7 linked regions of the Coturnix japonica genome follow. The main gene of each other region encodes a partner of the protein of the gene in region 7 in a complex. Links are inferred from orthologs where the notes say so. Each region holds a gene or a part of one and is shown on either strand. Other genes may lie near its edges. The genes, in order: ARID1A, PHF10, DPF3, ARID1B, SMARCD3, SMARCC2 and SMARCA2.

What was found.
Region 1: SMARCA2 (region 7) and ARID1A share a complex: the UniProt entries of both Homo sapiens proteins name them as parts of the neuron-specific chromatin remodeling complex. The link is inferred for Coturnix japonica from reciprocal best matches to the Homo sapiens genes SMARCA2 and ARID1A.
Region 2: SMARCA2 (region 7) and PHF10 share a complex: the UniProt entries of both Homo sapiens proteins name them as parts of the neural progenitors-specific chromatin remodeling complex. The link is inferred for Coturnix japonica from reciprocal best matches to the Homo sapiens genes SMARCA2 and PHF10.
Region 3: SMARCA2 (region 7) and DPF3 share a complex: the UniProt entries of both Homo sapiens proteins name them as parts of the BAF complex. The link is inferred for Coturnix japonica from reciprocal best matches to the Homo sapiens genes SMARCA2 and DPF3.
Region 4: SMARCA2 (region 7) and ARID1B share a complex: the UniProt entries of both Homo sapiens proteins name them as parts of the neuron-specific chromatin remodeling complex. The link is inferred for Coturnix japonica from reciprocal best matches to the Homo sapiens genes SMARCA2 and ARID1B.
Region 5: SMARCA2 (region 7) and SMARCD3 share a complex: the UniProt entries of both Homo sapiens proteins name them as parts of the BAF complex. The link is inferred for Coturnix japonica from reciprocal best matches to the Homo sapiens genes SMARCA2 and SMARCD3.
Region 6: SMARCA2 (region 7) and SMARCC2 share a complex: the UniProt entries of both Homo sapiens proteins name them as parts of the BAF complex. The link is inferred for Coturnix japonica from reciprocal best matches to the Homo sapiens genes SMARCA2 and SMARCC2.

Annotation. Positions count from the first base shown.
Region 1 is NC_029538.1:63,294-67,157, reverse strand, and holds part of ARID1A (AT-rich interactive domain-containing protein 1A), read left to right. Parts: intron 1-2,831; coding exon 2,832-3,072; intron 3,073-3,427; coding exon 3,428-3,517; intron 3,518-3,864. UniProt on the Homo sapiens protein: Involved in transcriptional activation and repression of select genes by chromatin remodeling (alteration of DNA-nucleosome topology).
Region 2 is NC_029518.1:36,956,090-36,960,515, forward strand, and holds the start of PHF10 (PHD finger protein 10), read left to right. Parts: upstream 1-1,477; 5' UTR 1,478-1,542; coding exon 1,543-1,611; intron 1,612-3,511; coding exon 3,512-3,618; intron 3,619-3,792; coding exon 3,793-3,923; intron 3,924-4,406; coding exon 4,407-4,426. UniProt on the Homo sapiens protein: Involved in transcription activity regulation by chromatin remodeling. Belongs to the neural progenitors-specific chromatin remodeling complex (npBAF complex) and is required for the proliferation of neural progenitors.
Region 3 is NC_029520.1:23,819,407-23,823,270, forward strand, and holds part of DPF3 (zinc finger protein DPF3), read left to right. Parts: intron 1-1,196; coding exon 1,197-1,357; intron 1,358-3,864. UniProt on the Homo sapiens protein: Belongs to the neuron-specific chromatin remodeling complex (nBAF complex).
Region 4 is NC_029518.1:46,526,083-46,529,919, reverse strand, and holds part of ARID1B (AT-rich interactive domain-containing protein 1B), read right to left. Parts: coding exon 3,588-3,837; intron 2,703-3,587; coding exon 2,572-2,702; intron 608-2,571; coding exon 1-607. UniProt on the Homo sapiens protein: Involved in transcriptional activation and repression of select genes by chromatin remodeling (alteration of DNA-nucleosome topology).
Region 5 is NC_029517.1:105,740-110,073, forward strand, and holds the start of SMARCD3 (SWI/SNF-related matrix-associated actin-dependent regulator of chromatin subfamily D member 3), read right to left. Parts: upstream 2,957-4,334; 5' UTR 2,828-2,956; coding exon 2,750-2,827; intron 1-2,749. UniProt on the Homo sapiens protein: Involved in transcriptional activation and repression of select genes by chromatin remodeling (alteration of DNA-nucleosome topology).
Region 6 is NC_029544.1:895,555-900,189, reverse strand, and holds the start of SMARCC2 (SWI/SNF complex subunit SMARCC2), read left to right. Parts: upstream 1-1,535; 5' UTR 1,536-1,579; coding exon 1,580-1,690; intron 1,691-1,773; coding exon 1,774-1,893; intron 1,894-4,009; exon of another isoform or gene 4,010-4,015; coding exon 4,016-4,101; intron 4,102-4,375; coding exon 4,376-4,457; intron 4,458-4,538; coding exon 4,539-4,631; intron 4,632-4,635. Other genes in the region: RNF41 (E3 ubiquitin-protein ligase NRDP1), read left to right, coding at 1-121. UniProt on the Homo sapiens protein: Involved in transcriptional activation and repression of select genes by chromatin remodeling (alteration of DNA-nucleosome topology).
Region 7 is NC_029547.1:23,971,753-23,975,616, forward strand, and holds part of SMARCA2 (probable global transcription activator SNF2L2), read left to right. Parts: intron 1-535; coding exon 536-865; intron 866-1,565; coding exon 1,566-1,667; intron 1,668-2,591; coding exon 2,592-2,841; intron 2,842-3,864. UniProt on the Homo sapiens protein: ATPase involved in transcriptional activation and repression of select genes by chromatin remodeling (alteration of DNA-nucleosome topology).

The sequences.
Region 1 (3,864 bases), on a different chromosome or scaffold from region 7:
GTAGTGGTGGAAGGAGAACAAGGACATACTACAAACAGAGTTCTCCCATCAAGTAACTGGCATTTCCAGCTCAAATGTAGCATTTTCCAGCATTTCCTAGAAACACTGTTAACCAGTTCTACTGTAAAACAGACAAGATTGCCCTACTACAGCAGACAACTGAAAGTGGTGCAGTTGATCCCCATCGCTCCCCTTTGTCGTTTTGAGTGTTGCTCTCTGTTCAACAAGTGTGATGAGGTTGTTGGATATTTCTTAGGTTATTTTATCTTCTGTAACCCCAGTTTTCTGCTTTCTAAGGTGTGGTCAAAGCACTTGCTTCTGGAGGCTGATACGCTTGCAGTATCTTGCGTATGAGGTCCTTGCGTGTCACAGGGAGTTAGGAGAGTTCCTGGAACTGCTGCTAAACGAGGCATTGTCCAGGCAGTGTAAACGGGACCAGGGTATCTCAGTGACTTTTCAGGATTCCCAGTCTTTCTGCATGTTTTTTTTCAGTGAGGTTGGCTCTGTGCTAATCAGCTGAATTGTGTTGAGAGGAACCTTATCTAAAATGGCTTTCTGCGCTCAATCCAGAGCACTTCTGAGCTAGGGTTGATTGCTCTGGAAGACTTGCAAAGGGTAGACAAGGGCCTAGTAAGCTTTGGTCTGCCATTTCTTAACCTACTGTGATGTTCTGAATCTCTAATTGCTGGAGTAGCAACTTTTCAGTGTTCAAATGTGCCATAACAGACTGTATTACTCTGCTGTGGACTATTCCTTGCCCTCTTACTCCAGGTTGACCCTGAGTAGCCAATGCAGCTTAGCATCAAGCAGCCAATGCAGTTGTGTTTGGAGTATTCCCAAGTATATCTCCATTTTTGAGACTTACCAAGTGATTTTTGGCACTGTTGCTTTGCAGTGAGTGTTGTTGAAATAGAAGATTTCAACTTTTTTAGGTTTTTCATAGAATTACGGAATTATAGAATGGCCTGTGTTGGAAAGGACCACAGTGATCATCTAGTTTCAACCCCCCTGCTATGTGCAGGGTCGCCAACCAGCAGCCCAGGCTGTCCACAGCCACATCCAGCCTGGCCTTGAATGCCTGCAGGGATGGGGCATCCACAGCCTCCTTGGGCAACCTGTTCCAGTGTGTCACCAACTTCTGGGTGAAAAACTTCTTCCTAATATACAACCTAAATCTCCCCTGTCTCAGTTTAAGACCATTCCCCCTTGTCCTGTCACTATCTTCCCTTGCAAACAGCTGTTCCCCCTCCTGTTTATACTTTCTCTTCAAGTACTGGAAGGCCATAAGGAGGTCTCCCCACAGCCTTCTCTTCTCCAAGTTAAACAAACCCAGTTCCCTAAATCTTTCCCTCATAGGAGATGTGCTTCAGCCCTCTGACCATCTTAGTGGCTCCTCCTCTGAACCTGTTCCAAGAGCTCCATGTCCTTTTACTGGGGGGCTTGGGCCTGGACGCAGTACTGCAGATGGGGCCTCACAAGAGTCAAGTAGAGGGGACAGTGACCTCCCTCTCCCTGCTGGCCACTCCTCTTTTAATGGAGCCTGGAACACAGTTGTCCTTCTGGGCTGCAAGCGCACACTGCTTGCTCATGTCCAGCTTTTTGTCCGCTAGGACCCTCAAGTCCTTTGCAGTGCTCCTCTCAAGGAGGTCTTCCCCTGGCTTGTATAAATACCTGGGATTGCCCCAGCCCAGGTGCAGTATCCTGCACTTGGCCTTGTTGAACCTCATTAGGTTTTCATGGCTCCACTTCTCCAGCCTGTCCAGGTCTCTCTGGATGGCTTCCCTTCCCTCCAGTGTATTGACTGCACCACTCAGCTTGGTGTTGTCTGCTGACTTGATGAGACTGCACTCGGTGCCATTGCGTTGAAAGGCACTGGTCCCAAAACCAACCCCTGATGGACACCACTTGTGACTGACCTCCACCCTGACACAGAGCCATTGATCACAACTTTTTGACTGCAACCAGCCAACCAATTCTTAGTCTGCCAAACAGTCCATCCTTCAAATCCATACCTCTCCAATTCTGAGAGAAGGATGTGGTGAGGGACCATGCTGAAGGCTTTGCAGAGTACCTGAAGGGTGATGGCTGTCATCTTCCCCTGTCCCCCAATGCCATCACTCCGTCATAGAACACCAGCAGATTGGTCAGGCAAGATCTGCCCTTGGTGAAGCCATGCTGGTTTTTGGTACTTTCCTTTTACATGCTTAATATATGCAACATGAAGGGTATTCTCTGGAAAAAAGAAAGAGAAAAGAAAAAAGTCCTAAACTTTGAATGTCAATACTGTACATGCTAGATTTTGCTATCTTTGAAGAAAGGGAAGTGGAAACCCTGAGGAATGTTCTACGGTTTTCTTTGAAAAAATCTATTTATTTATTTATTTTTATTCATCTCAAGTGAGTAGTTTCCCAGCTCACATGAGGTTCATGAATGAGGCAGGAGTTTTCTGTTGTTGAGAGGATGAGCCATGTTTCTGTTCCAAATCATAGTCACACTGAGTACCTTCTCCATATGCAGCTTTATGTGTATTGTTGATATAGTTTCTTGCCTCTAAATTGAATTAAAAGAAGTAGGTGTTAGGACCATCAGCAGACATTCATCAAAGTACCAAGGGAACTGCTCGATTCAGGGGCAGGTAGCAGGATACAACACATTCAGCAGTTACCTCAGTCTTCAACAACCTTTATTACTGACAATGACATGAGCCAAGTTGATTGATTTCAATTTGTAGTATGCCTAAGGGTGAAATTCACTTTCTGGGTGGTATATGAGAGAGTAGTCCCATGTCTCTTTATTTGCTGATGGCTGATCTGTTTCTTTATGTATTGCAGGACCTGTCTGGTTCAATAGATGATCTACCCATGGGTACAGAAGGAGCCCTGAGTCCTGGAGTAAGCACATCAGGGATTTCCAGCAGTCAAGGAGAGCAGAGTAACCCAGCTCAGTCTCCTTTCTCTCCACATACCTCTCCTCATCTGCCAGGCATCAGAGGACCTTCCCCATCCCCTGTTGGTTCTCCAGCTAGTGTTGCTCAGTCCCGCTCTGGTCCACTTTCACCTGCTGCAGTACCAGGTAACACAGCTTGGCACCTAGTGATCCTTTGGTTAAAATTGTTGGTGGGGAGAAACTGGCCAGTGTCAGTATTTTGTGGCTATTGAGAGCTTGCAATCTCTTCCATCTTCTTTTTTTTTTTTTCCTTTGAAATGCCTGTAACATGTACAGAATACAGTCCAGTGGGTGGGGTAGCTGACAAACCAGCAGTGTCATTTTCCTGGGTTAGTGTGGTTGATCTTGCTCTTTTTTTTCCTTCACTGTGGCTAAAATGCCCTTGTGCAACTGTTTGTAGTTCTGGTTTTTAACACTGTTGCATCTTTGATTTTGTGGTGAGCAATTCTTGTGATTAACCATTCTCCTTTTTGTGGTGCAGGCAATCAGATGCCGCCGCGACCACCCAGTGGCCAGTCAGACAGTATCATGCATCCTTCCATGAGCCAGTCAAGCATAGCTCAAGATCGAGGTATGTGATTTGGCTTAGAGAAGTTCTAATGGTACAAATCTGTTTGTAGAGCTAGATGCGTAGCTAAAAATTACCTGTCCTGATAATATGAATTCTGTGGTGAGACAGCATCTAAAGGCTGTGCCAGCATTATAACTGCAAGTGTTTTGGCTTCTGGCATCGTATTCAACTGTCACTGGCCCTTTGGTCTCTGAATGTTTGATGCAGGCTCGTTGTTTGGCTTTTCCAGATCTTTTCCACAAATGTTAGTTGCTTAAGTTCTGTGACTGTAAGATTCAAAGTAAGGGGTGGTCATAACAGTACTGGGTGGCATTTCCTCATATGAGAACAGGAGAAAATAAATGTAT
Region 2 (4,426 bases), on a different chromosome or scaffold from region 7:
TGAGTACATACATATGGGCTTCATCTGTTGTAACACTCTGATGTGAAGTCAAAGCAACTGGTGGAAAGCCAAACTTCAGCACATTTTGAATGCTGCTTGCCTGTTGTATGCATCGAGTTGTTAATGTTTACAATAAATTGTAGGTAATGGGTTTCTTGAATGCATACTTTCTTGAGAGAGAAGGCAGTGCTGTTTGGCTTTTTTAGGTAGAAATGTGAATTGGGAAGCCATCTTTTACATGCTTAATTGGTGTGAATTTCCACATATGCTCCTGGAAGGGGCTGAGTTTGGTCGTTGACTATTAGTCTTGTTCTAAGTACTGCAGTGCTCAGGCGGGTGAGTAAGCGCTGAATTCAGCAAGCAGCTTCTCAGGGCAAGGACAAGAAGAACGTGCCCTGGAGCATGGCTATTGATAACGGGCTGTAGAAGACAACAACGGCGAGGGCTAATAAGAGTTAAGGTAGATCCGCGAGGCACAGATCCTGCGGAATGTGGGAAAGGAGCTCTGACACCATTTCTATTGTTACGAGCTCCATGTAAACGTTTCCTAAGGCTGGCGGTGTTATCCCTGAACGTGCCCGGGGCTGTGCAGACGGGCTGTACGGAGCGGTGCCCAGGCTGAAGGCGCGGGCAGGAGCGCTCTAGGGCTTCGGTGCCGGCCGCGCGGCAGCTCCCCGCCATCCACGGCGGCCCGAGGCGGGGGACTGCGGTCCCCGCGTGGGAGTGGCTTCGCGCTTTGTTCTCCGGTGCGGTGCGGGCGGGGCCGCGTGCGGGCCGAGGCGCGGAGCGGACGGGGGCTCTCCTGCCAGGTACGGCCGGGGGAGCGGCGACGGGCGCGGCCGGAGGGGGTGCGGGTTGACGGCGGCGCGTTCGCTCCTTCCGCGCAGCGGCGGGGCCGGCTTCAAGCGCCCTCCTCGGGGGGGAGAGCGCTCGCACCGGCTTCCTGCGAGTGCTCCCCCCCGCCCCCCGTACACCCCTCCTGCGCTGGTGGATGGTTCACAAACGTAGCTCGTCCCCGGCTGACGCGCCGGAGACGGAGCAGCCCAGCCCTGCAGGGGCCAGCTCCCGCACCGGACGGCGGCGGCGGCGCTCGGCGCCCACCACGCCGTGGGGATGCTGCCCCTGCGCGCCGCGCTGCTACCCAAGCGCTGCCGAGGCGGATCGGCCCCGCGCTCGCGGTTGGGCCGCGCGGCCGCTCGAGCGGCGGCGGCTGCGGCGGCCGGAGGAGGAGGAGGAGGAGGAGGAGGGCGCGGCTGCGGCGGCGGTAGCGGCGGCGGAGCGGCGTTGCCGGGCCCGCGCGGCGTTGCGGGCGGGGCGGGCCGCGTGCCGGTCCGGCGGCGCGGGCCGGGGTCGCCGCGGGCAGCCCGGAGGGGGGCGGAGCAGGAGCTGCGCGAGGCGCCGCGCTCGTGCCCGGGCTGGCCGGTAGGGGCCGTTGCCACCCCCCGCAGGGGGAGGGGGGGCGGAGCCGGGCGCGGCGCGAGGCCGGGGCGCGCGGCGGCGGCGCTTCTCCTCGCCCAGCCGGCGGCGGCCCCCGCGGCGCTCATGGCGGCCGTGCTGTCCCCGCGCCTCTGCGAGAGCGACCCGGCCACGCCCGGAAACCAGTCCCTGAAGGTGAGCGCGGCGGGCGGCCCGAGGCTGCGGCCGGGCGGCGGGAGGCCTCGGCCGGCGCCCCCCCCCCCCGCGGGGCTCCGCTCTGAGCCCGGGCTCTCCTCGCGGTGGGGCGCCCGGGGGTGTTGGCGGCCTCCCGCGGCTGCGGCGAAGTTGTGGCGCGGGGTCGGGGCCAAGCGCCCGTGCGGCCGCCGTGGCTCCTCTGAGCGCCGCCCGTGCCGGACCGCCGCACCACGCCAAGTTTGGGGCTGGCTGCGAGCGGCCCCGCGGGCACGGCTCGTTGGGCACTTTTGGAGGAGGTTTGGGTAGTTCCGGCTGCCAGTTACAAAATAAAGCGTCGTGGCGGAGCTCTGGAAGCTGATTGGCGTACGGAGACTTCGCTCTGTAACTTTAAAGAGCCAACCAACAGGCAGCAGTGCGGCTGTGCTGGGCGTGCTTCTGCCAGGCGGGGAAGGAAGAGGAAGGCAAGGCCTGTTTCGGCTGAGCTTTTCTGACTGAACTGTCGTGTTCTCACTTGTTTGCCGAGTCCTTTGCACCGTCCTGCCTTGTTTCCTTGCGTGTTTTGTGTTCGTCTGCGGAGCAGTTTCTTCTTCACTAGGAGAGTGGTCAGGCCCTGGAACAGGCTGCCCAGGGAGGTTGTGGATGCCCCGTCCTTGGAGGTGTTCAAGACCAGGTTGGACGGGGCCCTGGGCAACCTGATCTAGTAAAGGTGTATGTTTGGTGGCCCTGCCAGGCAGGGGGGTTGGAACTACATGATCCTTGAGGTCCCTTCCAACCCGGGTCATTCTGTGATTCTGTGAGCGAAACTAAAAGCGGAGGAGGCAGAGGCAGCTGTCCCTCCTGCGGTGTGGGTGCTTATGTACTATAAACACGGTGTTCAGAAAGGGAAAACTTCGATGCAGTAAGAGAAAACCGGTGCAATACTTTGAAGTTTCTTGTCAGCTTTGCTATAGGAAACATAGCTTTAGTAGTTATGTCCATCAGCTCTAAACTCTACAGTGCATCAGGGTGCTGTGTGGGAGAAAGGAATGAGCTGTGGACTTATATTAGTTGTAGCAAAGAGCAGTCTCAGTCCAGCTTCCAACTGAGGAAGTAAGAGAGTTGCAAAGCATACCTGACAAAATAAAAGAAAAGCGGTTTCTTTTCCCATACTTATAAATACAATCCAAGTGGAAATTTGAGATCCAGGTCAAACAGCCTGGACCAAAATTCCCCAGTAATGGGACCATATGGAAACTAAATGACTTTCTGTGCCCGGCAAAAGCTGACCAACTAAATCAAATCAGCTCAGGGCTGATACTAACTTACAAAAAATATATATATCTACAATTACCTGCTTTGCTTGAAAGCTGTTAATGCAGCCATCCAAAAGGGTACTTTAATTCAGTGACAATCAGTATGAACATTTTGAACATTGCATTTTATTATTCTTTTGAACTGGCATTTATTTTAATGATATTTTCATACTAGTCCATGGTTTCTTTTATTTGAGGTAGTTTTGTTCTTGGATCTACTGCTGCTCACTATGTGCAGCTTGCTCGACTGCTTTGTTTTCTGTTTCTCACTTGTAGTCATGTAACTCTGATCACTAGATGCTTTGAGATCTGTTGCTAACAAGCAAAGAATAGGTATGAGTCATATAGTGTTATTAGTCAGTAGCTTTAGGGTTATTTTCTTAATCCCTTCATTGACAAAAAGCTTTTGCTACTCCATCTTTTCATAAGTTGTCTATCAGTTCTTACGTTTGCTGTGTAAACTATCCTGTCAGTTTTGTGTAGAGACTATTGTTGAACAGCTCAGTCCTTCAGGTATGTCTAAACTTCATATTAGAATGTTTTTGATGTTTTAAATTACCCGCTGAATGCTTTAAATTGATAAATATCTGTTTTCATCTTTGTTTCAGGATGACACTGAAGAAAATTCCAATGATGGCAGCCAGCCGTCGAAAAGACGGCGGATGGGCTCAGGGGACAGTTCTCGGAGCTGTGAGACTTCTAGTCAGGACCTCGGGTAATACAGCCTTTTATTGCTAGTCTTACTGTTTCATTTGATATGCTGAAGCATTAGCTCTTCTCCGTTCTTTCATGTTCTTTGTTTAACTGTTTGAATTGAGTGGTGCAAGTAGCTATTGGTCTTTTTCTCCCAGCATTCTTTGATTTCTTCTGATGTTGTTCTTACGCTCAGATACAGCTATTTTCCTGCTGAAAACCTGATAGAGTACAAGTGGCCGCCAGATGAAACAGGGGAGTACTATATGCTTCAGGAGCAAGTTAGTGAATATTTGGGTGTGACTTCCTTTAAAAGAAAATATCCAGGTATATATATATGTATTTAAAAGTCTTTCTTCTAAAAATCTGCCTTTTTAGGTTTTAAATGTAATCTCTGTGTCTTTTTGACCACAGAATGGTCCATTTAATTAAAATATCATAGCAAAAGTGAATCTCTATTCTGTATGTTCAACTTTGTGATTTTGTTACTGGCTTTTTGAAAATATATCCTACAGATTTCAAGTAGGAATTCTATGTAATTTAAGACTTTTCAGTCTTGCCACTGAAAAATCTATACAAAAGAATGAATTGAGTGTTAGATCAGTAAGTAGCTTTTGAAGACTGACCCCAGCTTAATTCCAAAGTATTTAGTTGGTGATTTCTTACTGTAAAGCTGGCCTTGTGTTTGTATTTCATTTCCTGTATGGTGCAGACTCATTACCTGAAAATTCTCAAAATGCTTTAACATTATTTATGGGGGATTTTGAGTAACTTTATATGCTTTTGTTGCTGTTTTTTGTTACCCCTAAGATCTGGAACGACGAGATCTG
Region 3 (3,864 bases), on a different chromosome or scaffold from region 7:
TTTGCACCAATCTGGCATCTTAAAATGGCAGTTGTGCCTATACAAGAGGGTAGTAGATAAACAACTAACAGAACAGCAAAGGGAGCCTCTTTTACCTTTGTGCGTGCATCCCTCCAGCTCCCTTGCTGTGTGTTATACTCTTTTTGCACACTAATGAATGTTGGAGTCAGAGCAAGTTAAGCTGTATCTCATTCTGCTCCTATTTTCTAATGAACTTACCCCTGATGGGTAGCTTTCCTAGCTATTCATGTCACGACTGAATTTCACCTTGACAGTAGATCAAGAATGAGGTTTCAGCAGTGTGGCCCACCTACTTTGCAGTGCTCCAGCATGACAGCTGCTTTGTGTCCTTAGGGTAGCTCTACTTTGATGCTTTTCCCTGTTTAGAACAATTTGGAGGGAGGATTTTGGTAATCTCCAGCAGGCAGTTTTCAAACCTTTCTCAGGGGAATATGAAGATTCGTCAGAATTTTTGAACCAATATTTATGAAACAAGTGACATTGTCTTTAGCATGGTTCTTCCCACTGAGCTCCAGAACAAAGGATTTGCCATGCTGCATCCTACCAACTGCTATTGTAGCTTGCTGCTGTTGGTGCCTTAAACCCGACTGTGGAAAACTCTGGAATGGTAGAGAGAAAACTAGTGTAAGCATTGCAAACATGGCTCAAGCTATTAACATGTGTGTTTTCACGACTCTGAAACACACAATATGAGGACTGTGTCTTTTGCTCTTCCAGGTTCTTTGGACTAAGAAATGCTGGATTGAAGTTGTAAACCTGTCTGGCTTTTTGGTTGCACACAATACTGCAGGAGTTGCTATAGCACAAAATTGACATGTGTGGTGTGCTGACTTGGCTGGGCAAACTACTGGGGAAGAGAGACAATAGAATGAGGTCACTGCTGTGTACATGGTGCCTGGCCCTGGGTCGGGAGCCAGTGTGGTTATACCATGTGCTCATTCAGTAACAATGCCTTCTGAAAAGATCTGTGTCTGGTTTCTAAAGAGTATCATCCTTTGACAGTTTCTGCATGATCTGCTTTGGTAGTGTGTGGTGTCAGTCAGCTTTTCACGTGTTCAGGGGAAGTTTTTCTGGTTGCCTATTTGAATAAGACAACCATATATGCCCGCCTTTTCCTAGTCTTGTTTAAGGAGAAGAGCAACCTTTTCTAATCTCCGCTCTGTCTCTTTTGGCAGGCTTGGGGACCAGTTCTACAAAGAAGCAATTGAGCACTGTCGCAGCTACAACTCTCGGCTGTGTGCTGAGCGGAGCGTTCGCCTTCCCTTCCTGGACTCGCAGACTGGGGTTGCTCAGAACAACTGCTACATCTGGATGGAGAAGCGGCACAGGGGACCAGGTTGGTAGCATTGTGTCTGCATGTGCGTGCACATGTCTGGAGGTCTGGCCACTGAGCCCTCATGGGATTTAATTAATAGGAACTCAAACCTGCTACAGGCCATGCAGAAGAGAAACTGCCTAAACCTCTGTGCCTGCAGGGGATTTCCTTTGGTAACTGCAGAGAGCTGATCCTAATTATTCTCTCTCTACCCGAAGAAGTGCCTGACATGGTAGTTTCTAAGGCTGTATCACTGTAGCTCTTCTAATGCTATTGATCCCAGTCTGTAGAAGGCACAATACCCTGCTCTGTAAGCAGGATTGAAATTATGTTCAGGGTGGAGAAGCAGAGGTGAAAGTCTTAGGTGAATGGTGAATATAAGGGGTTGTATCGGGCAGTATTTACAGTGGAGGTGAAATACAGGAGAGTCAAACTTCTGGAATGAATGTTGTTCTGATGATTATAAATGTAAGTATAACTTCTAGTTCTGTTCTGGACAAGTTTGGATATCAGCTCTGGAGCCTCAGTTTCCTTAGCTGCAGAAAAAAATTGGTATGCATCCTCAAATACCTTTGGCTAAGTTCTTGTCCAGAGGGGGAAAGACCACTGTTATTTTAATAGGCTTTGATCAGTCCTTCCTTCATTAGAGTGTAAATCCATCTGAAATGCTTGTTTTGAAAGCAGAGGACAATCACCAGTTCAGAGGCTTGATGTTACTTAAACAGAACTCCTGAAACCCAGTGAGAATTTTGCTAGAGTGTGGCTCAGTATCTGATCCACAGTTAGCACAGGCATGGATTTTCTGACAATACAGGAGTGGATTTGTGTTTCCCCCGCTTCTCCCCTCCCAATGTGCGTACTGGAGAATCCAGGCAGGAAAGAGTCAATTGTGCTCAGACACTGACCATGTGCACATATCCCTGTCAATTCCTGTAAACCATACTGAAAAAAAGAAAAGAAAAAAATCCAGACCTGTAACTGTGTGTAGGTGCAGGCTGCTGTTACCTCCTCCACTGGCTACCTTGCAGCAGCTGTAGCAGGAGGAACACAAATGTTATTTGCCTCCCCTCCTGTGAGCAGACTAGGAAATCAATTGATGCCTCTGAAGGGTGCTTATCTGAAACGCTTCCTAGGATAGGAGGGGGCATATCTTTACATTGCTTCTATTCCTAAAAAACTCAAAGTAGGTGTGGTGTGGTCTTGCAGTACCGCCAGAAAACTGTAGTAAAATGCAGCCACTTCTGTTGCAGGAGACAGCAGGTGTTTCACCAACATTAAATATATCCTAAGAATATTTCAACTGCCGAAACTACTCCAGTAATCTGAGATGCTAAATGTGGTTTGTGACCACGTTTTTTATTTTCTTTCTAATGTAAAACCTCCTAATTCCTAAGAGATTGTTAGCTTTTGCAAAGCTAGCTTTCCTTTTTTTTCTTTTTCTTCTTTTTGGCTAATCAGTTTGGCTGTGCAATTTCTGTTCTTGTAACATCAAGTTATGAGCAAGATGCTGTTTTTTAATCCTTGTAAACTCAGTAATAAACATGTATACATCCACTATATACACAAATGATGTCTTGGCAAGAGCACTTGCTACAAACTAAGCAAACGTAGTCTTGTATGGGTCTCATTGGTGTCTCTGCATTTATGGAGGAAATCATCCTAAAAGAGTTACAGCATCACACCAGGAGCCAAGAGCTCTGTCACTGGCTCTATGGATGACCTTTGGCAAATGCACTGAGCAAATCTTTTTGTTCACTTCTGTTACTGAACTTTCCTGTGGTTTCCCCTGCAAAAGAGTCAGTGGCTCCAGTGGGAACTAATGGCAGAACATTCCTCATAGAGAGTCTTAAGCGAATCAGGCTTTCTGCACTTGTTTCAGCCACCAAATCTGATGTCTTTGTTATTTTAAATTAGAATAATAAGTGCAAAATGAAGCAGCCCTCCTCCCCCATATTTGCTCTGCTCTTTCTTGATTTTTATTAGTCCCTTTAGTGCTCCCTTGGGTCTCTTTGCATCATCTATTTCTTGTAGTATTGTTATGGTGGGTCAAAGCATCCTTGTTTAGTTTTAGTGTCCTTGTTTTCAGGCTATACACATTGTACTTATGCTCATACTGAACATCTTCAAAAATTTGTTACCAGCACACAAGATGGATACTAAGGTGGCTATGTTCATTGCCATTTACTATCTGTAACCTGAAAAACTGTATAAAGACAAATGGCAAAGATCCAGGAACCATTTTCTTTTACAGAGAGTTTGAAAAACAGAGGAGAGTTGGGATCTCAGTGTATTAACCTGGTTTCTCACTGTCCTCTTTGTTAAGGGAGTCAGAAAACTGCACTTCATGATAAACAGTTCAGGGTTAATTTCACACAATACTGCACATAACTCCCTCCCTCTTCTCTCCTCCTCCCCCAGCCTTTCACAGGAGCTCTGAGTTATGACTCTCCTACACTAATGAGATAAACAACATAACTCACTGCAGGTTCTGCTATTTCCTCTATAAGCAAATGGTTGGAACCTTCTCT
Region 4 (3,837 bases), on a different chromosome or scaffold from region 7:
AGAGGACATCATCAATGGTTGCTGTTATACTTTTTTCTTGTTGTTCCTCAGATTCACCTTTCCCCTCGAGGTCTTTCTTTTTGCTTGGAGAGTTTGAGGGAGGAGGGGCTTTCCTGCGCGGAGGAATCTCCATCTTGCTTTCAAAGTGAGTCTGGATATGCTCAGTTGTGTCGCCACCACCAAGCTGCCAGTGGAGAAGTCCACTATCAAATTCCTGAACGCGTCCAAGTTTGTCAGATCGGTCAACAACAAATAGATTATTTTTCTTTACAATCTTTATTGGCAGCTTGTCAAATTTACTGGCTTGTTTTGGCCTTTCACTTGGATCAGCAATGGCACCAGGAGTGGAAAAAACAATGCTCTTTTCTTCTCCTTCTACGTTTTCATCCTCCCCCTCCTCCTCCTCTTCATCGAAACAGTCAATACATTCGTCACTCTCCTCTTTTCCAGTATCCTCTGCCAAGGACTGGCTATCATCTTTCTTGGCTGATTTGTGATCAAGTGCTTTGTGACCTGGATCTCCCACTTCATATTCCATGAGGATTCCAAAAATGTCAATCAGGCATTTTCTAAAATATTCTACTAAAAGCTCAAGAAATCCAGACAACTAAGGGGAGAAAAAAAAACAACATAAAAAACAAATATTTTTGACTGCATGAAATTTCATACGGAACACTAAATTGTACAACTTCCTGCCTTTTGCTGTGGACTTGTGGCTAGGTCCCTGCATGGCAGAAGCTAATCAAATGAAATTTTTCTAGTGTCTGTCTAATCAGTATGTAACACCAGACCACCACGATTCCATTTGCTTAAAACCTAACAGCTATGAAAAGTACAGTACTTTTCTTCTTATGCACTAGCACCTTAGCTACTTTTTAGCCTAGCTGTTCCATCCTGGGATGTGCCTAATATACTTTATTGTTTCTTCAGAGTACTGAAGTTTCTAACCCTCTTTGCTTTTCTGAATTGTACATTTATTAGACTCTGGAAGTTGACAATTCTTTATCTCTTCCTTTGTCTCTCAGTCTCTAAAACCATCTGTTCTGTTAGAATACACAGTTCAGGTTCGAGGTACTGATATCCCAGATTAGTAATCCATCTCTACTGGTATGACTCTCTTTTTGTGTGATGGTATTTCAAAATTGTCATTAGAGCCCAGTGGTGTAAGTCATCCTTCAGAAACAGTTTTCATTTAGCTTTAATCCTCTTAATTAACTGGTAATCACTTTCTCACAGAAAGGCAGTAGTTGGACTCGATACTAATTTACCCTCAGTTGCTTTATTATTAAAATCTCTTTACTGATATGATACATTCAGCCCAATTGTCTGCCTTTTAATGGTTGTTTTAATTGTGGGCTAACAGATATTTTGCAAAATGCATCCTTTCACCCATTCTGTATTCATACCATTGCCAAAAATCCCAAAGAAATGAGAACAAACAGATGCTTATAAACAGTGGGAATTATCGATTGTCATATGGAGTCCTGACTGACACTAGAAATCAAGTTCAAAGCAAAAGCAACCTCTAAAATCTAAAATGATCTGGTATTCTGTGCAATTTGCACAAGGTGTATTAATGCAGTCTCTACAGAATTCAGGAGATTCATCTCCCTTAATTCCAAACACCTGCAACAGTTACAAGCCTAATCATCTAGATTCTTTTTATAATCAGTGATCTTTTCAAGGCCATTTCCAGGGTATGATTCATCTGACCTATTTTAGATCTCTACTTTAGGATGAGATGAATTATGCTACAGATATCCCTAGTTCTAAAGTTAGGTGGAATGAAACGTATAATCTGTGCCTTTTTATTTTTTTTTAATTTTTTTTTTAAAAAAAAGGTCATTATATTTTAAAAAAGATGAGTTACACTATTAGTAGCCAGGGAGTGAGTGGAGCAGAGAAACTCCATTAGATGGCATTACCAGAACGCCATCTATAACAACCATCTAACAGGCTGATAGGTAGAGCAGGGCTGAAAAATGCTGGGAGGGAGAGAGGCAAAAGCATACACTGTTAAACTGTATGCTACTATCCTGTGTGCAGACAGTGGATTTTAGCCTTTTAATTGTTTGATAAACCTACTAGTTTTGTACAAGCTTACTTTGTGGGTAGAAGGAACAAAAAAACCCCAACAAAATATCTCACAGCCGAGTATAAGGACTAGTGAATAAGACAAATAGCAACTGAAAGACAGTCTCAAATCTAACATCATTCTGCAATGACTTTTTTGGAATGTTTTTTATGTGAAATTACTAACAATGCTATTTTCTGGGATTATCCTTGTTCAACAACAAATGTGAATTTACACATTAGTCTTCTGCCAGTGTTAACACTCTTACATTCCTATGTATTCCTTTCCACAAAAGCTGCTCTCCTTTTAAGCTTATTATTTCCCCAATTCCACCCTTAAGTACATTTTGTTACTCACTGTTATCAAATTACAAATTGAAGTTTTGCAATATTCTGACTTACGTTAACATATTTTAAGAGACTTCAGCATTTTCATATCTATTTTCTTAGTGTTTTCTTTCCTTGGAAAGCTTAGAGGTACTCTGCTTTCCCACCTACCTGAGAGAGGTTGAAAGTAGCGACAGTGCTATCATCATATAGAAGAATATTAATAGTGTCTAGCGCCCAGGTACTTTCAGCCAAAAGACCAGATTTAAGAGACATCATCACTCTCCAGGCCTCAGGAGTTACTGGAGAAAGAAAAGATAAGCATAAAACAGTATTAGTGCAACCTATGAGAGTTGAAGACTTGCGATGTTTTGAAAGAATAAACTGTGATGTTCTGAGGATGCAAAATATATAGGAAATAGTTACTGAATAATTACTGAAACACTGCTTAAGACCCTGGTTTCACCACTTAGCTCCGTTATGTTTTTCTCTCTTACTTAGTGCTAATTCTGGAGAGCATTTTAATGGGGCCATTCTTCTTGACCCTGCTGAAGAAATCATCTTACAAACTTTTAAGAAGCTGGCTATAACAAACAATACATAAATGCAAGTAGAATATTCTGTCATGAATATGGGAACCTGAGGTATGGGAACTGGAACATGTGAAATATAACAGGAATTCAAGATAAGAAGATACTTAGGAAAGAATTTGGAGAGAAACAGAAGTGGCAAATAATATGGCATGAAAAAACGGGCCATTCCGCCTTACTTAGGCAGACACTGTAAGGGCACAGAGCAATAGCTCTGTTGTGAGCTTCCATGGAACAAGAATGTGGAAATCTTTGCTCACCTAAACACTGCACCAGTGATTTAACAGACATTCTGGTGGATCTTTCAACAAATAGCATTTGGAAGCCCAGACAAGCTTTATTTTTAATGTAATATTGCACTTTTTGAGAACTCAGGTCTCCATACAGAAAACTGATTTCATATGGTGTTGAACTTGCTGGTATGAGATTTGTCATCCTCACTGATTCATATTCTATTGCATTTTTAGTGAACACATAATAGCTACCAAAGTTAATTACTTGTCAAAGCAGTCTTAACAAGTAAAGGAAAACAAAAACCAAAGATCCTTTCTCCCAACCTTGCTCCCAAAAGCATTTCGCTTTTGTTTCTGTACTTACCAATATCTTTTGAGGTAATCTTTCGCCTTGGTTTTAAGACTGGCTGCGATGCTTCTACAGAGCCTGGGGGGAAGGTAATTTCTCGCCTAATCGGTGGTGGTTGGGGTGGAGGTCCTGTGACCTGTGACACTGGAACTGTGGGTATAACCTTTTGCATCTTCATGGAGGGTAGGAAAGGAGACTTGCTTGGAGACATACGGTTTTCCAAAGAGCGCTGGAAGGATGCTGGACTTGGAGCTCTAGAGATGTG
Region 5 (4,334 bases), on a different chromosome or scaffold from region 7:
GAAGATCCGTATTTGAGAAAGAAAAAAAAGACAAAGACAACACCCAGTGAAGGGACACAGACAACAGAGAAACTGACATGGGAGAAACTGAGGATCACCCTACAGGAATTAACAATTTGGTTTGGGTCAACAAGTAGATACTCAGAGTGAGATGTCACAAGGGCAGCCTGAAGTGTACTGCTGGACAGTAGAAAACACATCAGGAAAAAACATATAGGCATAAAGGTGGTCATTAAAGCTGAATTTATCCATAACAGTTCTGGAAATAGAGCAGAGGGGCGAAAGTGACAGTGAAGGATGATGAAGCCTGTGCAAAAAATCCCTCTTCCCACAGATACAGCGTGTGAGGCCCTGATCAACAGACCAGGAGTTAGAGAAATCTAAGGAATAACTGAAAGAAAGGCGGTCTTTTGAAAAGAACTGCTCAGCAGAGGTGTAACAAACTACTCCAGCAGGGCGAAGTATCACACCTGAGGCTTCTCACCACTGAGATCTGACAGCACAGAGGGATCCTATCTGAACCACACAAAGGGAAGAAGATCTCTTCTGAGCTGGCAGCATGGGAAAGAACAAAGGCAAGATGAAACACACAAGAGCAAAGGGCGAAGTGACCTTAGCAGAGAAACACATGTTTTCAGAAAGATCAAATAAACCCAAAATCTAACAGCTCTCAGTAAATAGTGCAAAATTCTCCTTTCTATTTAATTCTTCAAACAGTACATTTTTTTCTCATGGCATTCTATCCCTGCTTATACACTCCCATTTCTGAAAATGAAACAATAACGATAACAATACCTGCAGTAATCAAGAGAGATCATTTTGCCAAAGAGAGAACAAAAAAACCCAGTAATCTGAAGAGGAGATTTTCCCTGGAGTGGAGGCATAACCTGATTCCAAGGCATGCTGGAAAACTTTACTCTTCAACTTGAATCTTCAAGGAATTGATTCAGATGCAGACAGGCCGCGTGCGGTGATGAGGCTGCAATATCTGCACTCGGGGTAACGGCTCGTTCTTTTATTCGATAGGATATGTAAACAGGTAAATGAAGTTGCAACTTTGGGTCTTTTGTAAGCAATGGAAGACTGGCTGCCTCAACCTGTTTTGACCAAAATGAGCCTGAGGTCAGGAAGAAACTAGAAGTGAAGAACAAACACGGAAGCAAAAGCAGAACCAAAGGAAATAATCATGGAGGGGCGCAGAGGGTCCTACAAGAGGAGCTCAGGCAAAGAGTGATGGACAAGAAGCTCTGTTTCCCCTGACAGGCAGTGGAAAGGTAACAACCAGATGCAGGTACTCAGGCAATGTGGATACCAAGTGAGACGCCTCTCATGGAGAAACAGGCAGTGCAGACAAGTCAGACTTTTCTAGCACCCAAATAACTAATGGAAACAAGTTCTGCTGCATTAATTCTGGTATGAATTAACATTTCTCATGCTTAAGAGGCCAGCAGGCTCCTTTCACATCTACATGGGAAAGAAGCAGGGTCATCCAACTGTCTTAGCAACTCTTGGAAATACCAAAGGAAGAGCAGTGTTGTGCCAACAGAAGCCTTGGAAAAAGAAACAGCTACCCTCGTGCACAGCCCTCCCGGGATGCCTGCGGCCACCCAGCTACAGCCACCCTGAGCCAGACCATCTTAACCAACACACGTGTTCACAGCACAGCTACTGCCACAGATCCGCACACCTGCTTCTGTCATATCTGCCCATCCAGCCACAGACTGCTGATGTACATCGGCACCGCTCTGCCTGCTCACTGCTCTCAGGGAGCAGAATGCCATCTAAAAGTCCTTCACCCTGCAAGCTCATCATAGCCAGGCTCTGCAGTACACAAGAAAGATCCAATACATTTGGAGCAAGCCTGAATTATGGGGACAACCCAGAGGCCTGCAGCGAGCTCCCGAGATTCCTTTGTACAGGAACACGCAGCGGATGTCTTCAAAAAGGTGTCACAGAAGGTGCCAGAACGCTCAGGAGAGAAAACACGCAGGGACTGTCTCCATCTGAGCTATATCTGCGTTTCCTGGGTCTTATTTCCTTAAAAGTGTATCAGCACGAGACATCCGAATGCTATAAATGGTGGTCGCTTTCAACCATCAGTCATTTAAAGAACATCGTTTCTCCTGGCAGCAAAACAAGGTTAGCGTATCCCCTTAAATGGAGATCAAAAACCTGATTCCTTAAACAAAAGCTGGCGATTTTTTAAAGACCTGAGTGATTCCTTTAATTAAGCGCGGCAACCTGACGTTCCCTCGTGGGTGAGCGCCCATCGCCTGGCAGAGATCCGCAGCGCTAATCTCTCCAAGCCCCTGAAAGTCACCTGTTAAGTAGCCAGCGGATACATCAGAGCCAAGGCTGGAGACGAGAACCAGAGGCAGCGCCACACGGCCGCGTCGGACCAGCATCAGAATTGCTTTTCAAAACACAAGTTTGCTTACAGAACAAAGTGTCCTACGAGCCCGTTTGGGTCAGACGCGGTGCAGATCCCGCACCGTGACGAGGCTCGGGAGCACGCTATTCACCAAGCACGGAGAATCAAAGCAGCAATCACAGCACGCAACCCCCCAGACAAAGCCGTATAGCAACGAATCGGTCACATCGTGTGCACCGGCGGCCCCGCGGCTCCCGGGCGAGGCGGGGAGCGGCGCCCCACGGGCGCGCAGCAGGGGCCGCTCCAGCCCGGCGCAGCCTCCGCTCTGCACTCATCCCTCGATCCGGAGCCAGCAGCTCGCTAACTTTCCCGACTCACCACCCCATGGACCAGAAACTCAAAAAGTTTGCTTTTCGTAGCTTTGCGAGCCCCTCCTGTAACTTCGTCTGTAGCCATCGGGGTCTGCTCAGCCTCTCTCACTCTCTCTCTTCCTCTTTCTTTCCCTTTTCTGCCTTTTTCTCCAACTCTCCCCTCTGAGTCCTGCTGGGCTCTCACACTTCTAATAGCGCGGAGTGGGGAGGGGGCCCCTTCAGGGCCTTCCTGACGGCCCACTCGCGCTCGGCCTCAGCTGCTGCATTCCTCCACTGATAAGCCAGAAATAGTTTGCGCTGCCGGGCTCTGCGTGTTTACTCTGCGGGGACAGAAAATCCCGCTTTTTAAACCTCTCTGTCCAAACACCCGAGATAAGAGCCAGGCAGATTGAAAACACGTCCCGGCCTTTCGCGGCGGAGCCGCAGCCGCTCCTCCTCGGCGCAGGGGATGGTAAATTCTGGGGCAAGGGGGAGGGGGCGGCCTCGGCTCCCGGGGAGTTTTCCCATTACAATATGCGGCGGGAGAGCGGGGAGAAACAATGGCTCCCCCCGTTCGCAGCGCTCCGCCCGCGCCGCGCTCCAGGCCCCGTCCCCGGGGACCGCCGGCAGCGGGCAAACATTCGCTGGCGGCGATTCCAGCGCCAGGATGAGAACGGCCCCTGCGGCGAGAAGAGGCGGCGGGAGGCGGAGAGACGGGAGCGGGCAGGGACGGAGCGGGGGAGAAGGGATGGGGGGCGTGCGAGCAGCGGGGGCGGCATAGCGGCATAGCAGCACGGCAGCACGGCAGTATGGCAGTATGGCAGTATGGATGTATGGCAGCACGGCAGTATGGCAGTATGGCAGTATGGCAGTATGGATGTATGGCAGTATGGATGTATGGCAGTATGGCAGTATGGCAGTATGGATGTATGGCAGTATGGCAGCATGGCAGTATGGCGGCGGCCCCGCCCGGGGCGATCTGTCCGGGGCTCTCCGGCCCCGCTACGCCCCGTGTGACTGACGGCTGCAGACGCCGCGATCCCCGCAGCTCGCCGTTGTGCTGCCGCAGCTCGCGGCTCCTCGTGCACAGCCCCGCGCGGCACCACGAGACCCCGCGGCCCATCGGGGGGGAAGGGGCCTCTGCAGCGCTTCTCGGCGGCCCCTCCGTGATGGAGAGCAGTAATAACGGCTCTGCGGTGCACAGCGGCAATAACGGCTCTGCGGTGCACAGCGGCGGGGCCGCCTCCATGACGGCACAGCGGCGTGGCCGTGGGGCTCTGCTCACCGCGGTGTGTGCGGCTGGAGGGGGCGGCTGCCTCCCGTCCGCCTGATACATTGATAGAGGTGTTGCCAGAGGGGTTTGTTCTGTTCCTCTCCTTGAGATTGATGTCTATAGACTCTGAATTTTTTGGCAAGGCTGCAAGTAGAAGGGAATCAGAAGGGAACCTGAATTGAATAAAATCGCTGCTCTCACCCAGTGGTTAAAAACAAGCACCAAAAAGACACTGAATCGGGCAGCAGCGAGGAGCAGCCCATGGCGAACACACGGCATCGTGTGCGCGGGGACTGAGGAGCAGCCTCTGCTGATGTTCAAGGTGACCCCGGCCCAGGCA
Region 6 (4,635 bases), on a different chromosome or scaffold from region 7:
ACGGATCCCAGGCAAACAGGCCGTGGTGGTGATGGCCTGTGAGAACCAGCACATGGGTGAGGACATGGTGCTGGAGCCGGGGCTGGTGATGATATTTGCACACGGAGTGGAGGAAATATAAATGGACGTTGGAAGAAGCGATGCTTTGTGCTGAGGAGGGGGCTGGGACCGAGGCCTGGGGTGGATGCTGCCAATGGCCGGGCTCTGCTCACAGCTGGATGAAACGATTCCATGTCCCCCCCCCTTCCCCCCAAGTCCCCCTTATAACCGCTGCATCCACCCCAGCCCACCCCCCATTTGCCCCCTGCAGCTCCATATCCCCACTTGGTGTCTTCAGAGGGGGCAGAGGAGGCACAGCTGCACCCCGGGTACTGCTGGGCTGCTGCCCCATGGACTTCCAGCCCCATGGACTTCCAGCCCCATGGGCTTCCAGCCCCACGGATGCTCACGCTGTGCCTGCAGCCCCCCCGGCTGCCTCCCTTGTGCTCTCTGCCCTATGCTGCCTGTGTCTGTCCCAGGGGGCCAGGCCTGGCCTCCCTCTCCCCATTTAACCCTAAAGGCAGAGCTGGGCATTTATGGGCGAGGGGGAGCCAATGAGGGGGGGGGGTGGGGGGAGCAGGGAGGGGGTCTGGCACCACCCTGGGGGGCAATAGGAGCCCCCTCTGCCCCACTGCTGTTCCTCTGCAGCCACTCGTGCTCGTGGTTCTGTATTATTTTGTACTACTCAGCCTTCCCCCACCCCTCCATTCTTACCCCCCCCCTCCATTCTCCTCCCCCCCCCTTTGATTTTGGAGTGCCACCGATGGCTTCATACCCCCCCTTACCCCCCCCCATTCACCCTATGGGACTTTAATTTATTCTCATTCGTTACGTTGGTTTTTTTTACGGTCCTCCCCCCCCCTTCCCCCTATTTTCCGCTGTCTGTACGATGCGGTTCCGGGTCTCCCCCCCCCTTGTTGGTGGGGGGGGGGGGGGGGGGGGCGTTCAGCGATCAATAAAAACGGCTGTTCTGGTTTCTGTAGCGAAGCTGTGGCTGCTCTAGGAGGGGTCGGGGGGGGGGTCACACTAAAAGGGGCCGAGCCTTTCTGAACTGCTCCGTGTTATACAGAGTCCCACATTAAAAAGGGACCCCCCCCCCATTAAAAGATAAAGCTCCGTCACGGACAGGATTCGAACCTGCGCAGGGAAACCCTATTGGATTTCGAGTCCAACGCCTTCACCTCTCGGCCACCGTGACTTCAGCGCCTCCCTCATCCGCGCTCCGCCTAGACCCGGCACACCGCCCCCATCCATCGGGTCCTCCGTGCCGCCAGGGGGCGCTGTGTTCACTCATCTCCATTCGGCCTGCAGGGGGCGCTGTGCACACTCACCCCTGTTCTGCCCGCAGGGGGCGCCGTCCTGCAGTACCCTTCATTACCGGCAGGGGGCGCCGTCCCGCAGTTCCCTTCATTACCGGCAGGGGGCGCCGTCCCGCAGTACCCTTCATTACCGGCAGGGGGCGCCGTCCTGCAGTACCCCTCGTTACCGGCAGGGGGCGCTGCGTCACGTCACGGCGGGGAGCGGCCCGGCCCGCTGGAAGATGGCGGTGCGGAAGAAGGACGGCGGCCCCAACGTCAAATATTACGAGGCCTCGGACACCGTCAGTCAATTCGACAACGTCCGCCTTTGGTTGGGCAAGAACTACAAGAAGGTACGGATCGTTCGGGATCCCTCATAGGCCTCACGGCTCCGCTTTACACGGAGCCAGGCCCGAGGCTGAGCCCCCTCCCGCAGTACATCCAGGCCGAGCCCCCCACCAACAAATCGCTGTCGAGTCTCGTGGTTCAACTGCTGCAGTTCCAGGAGGAAGTGTTCGGGAAGCACGTCAGCAACGCGCCGCTCACCAAACTGCCGGTGCGTGACTGGGCCGGGCGGACAAAGGGACCCGCAAACCCCGCAACCCCCCCCAGGGACACCCCAGGACCTGCACGACCCGGCCCCGTAATGCCCTGGGTTGGGGGGGACACATGGGACCCCCCCCCCTCCCTTTGGAGGGGTCTTTGTAAGACCCCCCCGGCCCCAAATGGCCCAGCTGGGGTGGAGGGGACACATGGGGACCCTCCCCCTTCCCAACCCCCCCACCCCCTTTGGAGGGGTCTTTGCAAGACCCGAGGCACCCCCGGACCCGCAAGGCCCGGCCCCGTAATGCCCTGGGTTGGGGGGGACACATGGGACCCTCCCCTTTCCCAACCCCCCCACCCCCTTTGGAGGGGTCTTCCCCACCCCCATCCCTTTGGGGAGGTCTTTGCGAGACCCCCCCGGTTCCAAATGGCCCAGCTGGGGGGGGGGGGGGACACATGGGGACCCCCCCCCTTCCCAACCCCCCCACCCCCTTTGGAGGGGTCTTTGCGAGACCCCCCCGGCCCCAAATGTGGGATGACACGTGGGGACCCTCCTCTTCCCCCCCCCCCTCCTTTAGGAGGGTCTTTGTGAGACCCCCCCGGACCCGCAGGGCCCGGCCCCGTAATGCCCTGGGTTGGGGGGGACACGTGGGACCCCCCCCCCCCTTTGGAGGGGTCTTTGTGAGACCCCCCCGGCCCTGCAATGCCTTGGTGTTGGGGGGGACACATAGGGACCCTCCTCTTCCCCACCCCCGTTCCTTTGGGGTTGTCTTTGCGAGACCCCCCTGGCCCCAAATGGCCCAGCTGGGTGGGGAGGACATAGGGACCCTCCCCCTTCCCACCCCCATCCCTTTGAGGGGGTCTCTGTGAGACCCCCCAGGCCCCAAATGTGGGATGACACATAGGGACCCTCCTCTTCCCCCCCCCCCCTCCTATAGGGGGGTCTTTGTGAGACCCCCCCGGTCCCATAATACCTTGGTGTTGGGGGAGATACATGGGACCCTCCCCTTCCCCCCCCCCCCCCCTATAGGGGGGTCTTTGTGAGACCCCCCCGGTCCCATAATACCTTGGTGTTGGGGGAGATACATGGGACCCTCCCCTTCCCCACCCCCCACCCCCTTTGGAGGGGTCTTCCCCACCCCCATCCCTTTGGGGAGGTCTTTACGAGACCCCCCCGGCCCCGCAATGCCTTGGTGTTGGGGGGGACACATGGGGACACCCCCCACCCCCCACCCCGTTTGGAGGGGTCTTTGCAAGACCCGAGACACCCCCGGACCCGCAATGCCCTGGGTTGGGGGGGACACATGGGAACCCACCCCCCCACCCCCCTTTGGGGAGGTCTTTGCGAGACCCCCCCGGCCCCAAATGGCCCAGCTGGGGGGGGGGCACATGGGGACCCTCCCCTTTCCCAACCCCCCAACCCCCTTTGGAGGGGTCTTTGAAAGACCTGAGACACCCCCGGACCCGCACGGCCCGGCCCCGTAATGCCCTGGGTTGGGGGGGACACATGGGACCCTCCCCCTTCCCAACCCCCCACCCCCTTTGGAAGGGTCTTTGCGAGACCCCCCCGGCCCTTGGTGTGGGGGAACACATGGGGACCCACCCCCCCACCCCCCTTTGGGGAGGTCTTTGCGAGACCCCTCCAGCCCCAAATGGCCCAGCTGGGGGGGACACACATAGGGACCCTCTTCTTCCCCCCCCCCCCTCCTTTAGGGGGGTCTTTGTGAGACCCCCCCGGTCCTGCAATGCCTTGGTGGGGGGGGGACACATGGGACCCTCCCCCTTCCCACCCCCCACCCCCTTTGGAGGGGTCTTTGCGAGAGCCCCCCAGGCCCCACACGGCCCAGCTGGGAGGGATGGACACATGGGGACCCTCCTCTTCCCCACTCCCATCCCTTTGGGGGGCTCTTTGGGGCTGGGGTTGGGCGGGGGGGTTGTTGGGGTGGTCGCCCCCATGGCATGGAGCAGGGACAGCAATGGGGACAATAGGGAGAAGGGATGAGTCCCAGTGCTGCCCGCTGTGGGGCATTGCCTGCTATGTATGGGGTATTGCCTGCTGTGGGGCACTGCCCGCTGTGGGGTATTGCCCGCTGTGGGGCAGCCCCCCCCCCGAGTCCTCCCATCCCCTTTTCCAGATCAAATGCTTCCTGGATTTCAAGGCGGGGGGAGCCCTGTGCCACATCTTGGCGGCTGCTTATAAGTTCAAGAGCGACCAAGGATGGTGAGCGGCATCATAGGGAGGATGGGATGGAATTAAGGGTGGTGGTGGGGTTGGGAGGGGGGAGGCAGAGATTTGTCTGCTCTATGGGGCACAATGGGGGCGGTTACAGCCCTGGGTTGGGCAGTGTGTTGGCTGCCCATCTGTGGGTCACAGCCCCATACACAGATCCCTGTTGGGGTGTCCCCCCACCCCCCTTTAATGGGTAAAATGGGGCTGAGTGATGAGGAGACCTGAGCTGTGGCTTTCATGAGAGTCGCTCTTTTCTTCCAATAAGGCGGCGTTTCGATTTCCAGAATCCCTCGCGGATGGATCGCAACGTGGAGATGTTTATGACCATCGAGAAATCCCTGGTGCAGGTGGGAGCTGCTTCCCTCCCCTCCTCCCCACCTCCTCTATTTGTTCCCAGCTCTGTTTAATCCTTTGCTTTCCTTCCCCAGAACAACTGCCTGTCCCGGCCCAACATCTTCCTGCACCAGGAGATTGAGCCCAAGCTGCTGAGTAAACTGAAGGACATTATTAAGAGGCACCAGGTGG
Region 7 (3,864 bases):
AATCATTTCCCCTTGTTCTGTCACTACAGACCCTGCTGAAGAGTCTGTCCTTCTTTCCTGTAACCCCTCTTTATTTACTGAAAAGTTGCTTTCAGGTCAGGTCGGAGCTTTCTGCTCCCAGGTTTCTCAGCCTGTCCTCACAGGAGAAGTGTTTCATCCCTTGGATCATTTTTTGTGGCCCTTCTCTGGATGCACTCCAACAGATTTATGTCTCTGTCTCTCCTGAGTCTAGTCTTGAATTAGTCTGCCATTCTGCTATCTCTTTGTTGTATTTAATGCTAAAATATGTCATTCAAAAAAAAAAAAAAAAAGTAAGATTGTTCTTTTTAGGAATATTTAAACCACAGAACCATAACTGCTCAGACAACAGCTCATTTAGCTAATTTCAGGTGGCACTTTGTTCTTGCTGAAAGTATTACAACCCTCCTGACTTCAAAGGGCTGTTTTTATACTCTGTGTACTGCCAAAGAAACGTGATGGAATTTGGATTTGACTAGTCAGGGTGCTAAATTTGTGATCATCTCATCTGTTTTAGGTTATATGTCTCCACACCCATCTCCACTAGGAGCACCAGAGCATGTGTCCAGCCCGATGTCTGGAGGAGGTCCAACTCCACCCCAGATGACTCCTAGCCAGCCAGGACCTATTATACCTGGGGATCCACAAGTTATGAGTCAACCCAACAGAGGTCCTTCCCCTTTCAGCCCTGTACAGCTGCACCAACTTCGGGCTCAGATTCTAGCATACAAAATGTTAGCTAGAGGTCAGCCTTTGCCAGAAAACCTCCAGCTTGCTGTTCAGGGAAAGCGGACCCTTCCAGGCATTCAACAGCAGCAGCCTCCCAGTGCCTTCAACAGACAGTCTGGTAAGTGCATCTAGGCCTTGTGTCATTGCACAAGTAATGCTCAAAGTTCTACTTGTGAGATGTTACAGGAGCATAGTGTTCACATTATAATTTGGGACAACATTCTGAACTTTTTAATACTGAGAAAGTGCATTGAACCTACCTATTACTAATAGAATATTGTACACAGAAATAGAAGTGTCCTCCTGAATTATACCTGACATTTTTTGAGTTTTAATCATAGTTTATCAATCACAGGTTTACTCTTTTTAGAGTAATTTCCAGTTTCCTGTTATGTGGAAAAAACAGAAAATTTGGAGCAGATTAAAGGAAAACAAACTATGTATAGTATGCTGCTGAGTATGTATAATGAAAAGAAAAATTTCTTTATTAGTCTTTCTCTTCCAATGATAAAAAATGTTACAGTGCAGTAAGCAGAGCACACTTTAGTCTTGAGAAAACTTTGTTAACATTGAACACCATGTACCATTTGTATTTTATTAACATTTCCATTTTTGATTATTAGAAATTGAGTGTTAAGTCTATCTTGTTTTCTTGCTAGTTATGATTTTAATAGTTCATTTCAGTGTATATCACTTAGCTAAAAAGTAGAGGCTTTTGGGTTTTTACCCAGCATCCTATAAAACAGAACAGTTGTTGAATGTTTCTTTCTTAATACAATTCTTTCTTAATACAGTTCTTTCCTCTGCCAAATTGTTAGGTATTGGGATGCATGCAATGAGTGGTGCTGCAACTGGACCAGGGCCTGCTGCAGGAATACCTGGACATACAGCTGCCATTACCCCTAAAACTTGGAATGAAGGTATAGGGAAATATAAATCTCGTATTATTTCATACATGGAGTTATGGTAAGACAGTGTAGGTAGAGAGTGAGAAAAAAATAGGGGGAAAAGAAAAGAAAAAGTTAAAAGTAATACAGACAAAACAGTGTAACCTTTACTGTGCCTAGGACTTAAATATCAAGGAGAATTTAACCATTTGTTCATCACTTGGCCAGATGAAGTTATTGCAGTTAGGCAAAGTAAACTTGAAGCACCTTTTTATAATCAAAGTGAAATACATAAGCTGCCTGAGGGACACCCATAAAATAGGTACTTAAGTTATATTCTCAGCATGCTTAATTGCAGGAAGTTTGTCTTTCAACTGTATTCTTTGTTTCTGTAAAGTCAAGTTTTCAAACCATGTTAGAATTAGGCTTTTTTTTTTTTTTTTTTTTTTAATTGCTTTGAAAGTACATTGTGGTCCTTGAGATTTAAAGAACACTGTAACATTTTTTTCACCAGTTGGTGTGATAATAATTTTTGGAATAAAAATATTTAGATTTGGATTTACAGGCTCATTTTATGATTTGAAAGAAGAAGGTGGGCAGTATTGAAATTCATTAGAAATTATTAAGAATATATTTTGAATTTGTTTTTCAAGAAAAATTTAAAGGTAAATATAGTATTACAGGCTTGTGAATAAAGTGTTTCTCATTCAGCAGAAATCTTATACATTGTTGTTGCTTGTAGGTAAATCTGAGGACAGACAGAGAACTGTGATAGTTGATGGATAGTACTTTTTTTTTTTTTTTTAAATACAGAATGAAGTGTGTGTATGTAAGTGTGTGTTTATCTGGTAATTTTGAATGTTTTTCTGAACTCACATTCTTCTGCAGAAACTGTCTTGAATTTCTTCCTGTGTTCTATATTTCATGTTATGAATAAGTATTTTTTTTATGATTCAGGCCAAACCCCAGATATGAGTGTATCCAGTGCACAGCAGAAACTTCCTGCACCATCTCCGAGTGGGAGGCCTTCTCCTGCCCCTACTGCTGCCCAGCCTGCTGCTGCTATGCCTGGGCCTTCTGTACCACAGCCACCACCTGGACAGCCTTCCCCCATTGTTCAGCTGCAGCAAAAGCAGAATCGCATCAGCCCTATTCAAAAGCCACAAGGATTAGACCCTGTTGAAATTCTTCAAGAACGCGAATATAGGTAAAAGTGAATAATATGATTCAAGTACATTTGCAGGTTGTTATTTTTCACTTTCTGAACAAGGTGTCCTTGCAACGTAATGTAGTAGTAAAAACCAAGTAAACCGAGTTTCCAGAGAAGAATCATGTTAAAGAGAAGTAGAAACATTATACTCAAAAAGGTAATCTAATTGCACCCCATATAAGGAACTAGGAAAGGGTACTGTCATTACAGACCTTCTAGGTTTAATAGGCTCAGGGACTCTGCTTGGTTGCTGTAGTATTGGATGCTTCAAAAGACAAAAGTTAGGAAATCTAAATCCCTGTAATCTAGAGAGAAACAGATTTACTGTGGGAAGTTTTCAAAATTACATACAAGTTATAAAGGGAATAATGGAAGTCAAAAGGCTGATAAAAGTTAGTGGCTAGAGCAAAAACAAGTTTTATTAGTGTGATTGTGAGGTTGTCTGAACTCCAAAGAGTACGGAGGTCATGAGGAAGATTAAAGAAGAGGTTACCAGAAAACATGGTCTTAAAAGTTGCTTCCTGAGTGCCTCAATTCAACGATGATTTATATTCATATATAAAGTATAGAGGATAACATTTCTTTCAGAATTAGATAAGGAGTTCTCATGCTTTTTCACTGTCATCAAGACCATTGAGATAGCAATAGTTAGCCTTGAGAATCTGCAGGGCAAGAAGGGTCTTGACCTGCACCTGAAGTGTTTCTAATCATTATCCATTAGTGAGAAGAGACCACACATTGTGTATTTTCTTGGTTTGAACTGATAAAAGCATCTTCCAATTACTGTAATGATGAGTTTGTAACAGAAAGGTAGCCAGAAGGAGTGATGATCTTGCCAAAAACAGGTTTAATGACTTTAAATTTGTGAAGATAAAGCACCATGGAGTTATATAGTATGTGGTGCTATGCTCAGTATATAGGTTTTGATCACAGAAAAGCTTTCACTTTCTGCATAAAATAATACTAAAGTAATTTTAGGTCATTTCATTGTGGTCTTTTTTTTTTTTCTTTTTTAAACCT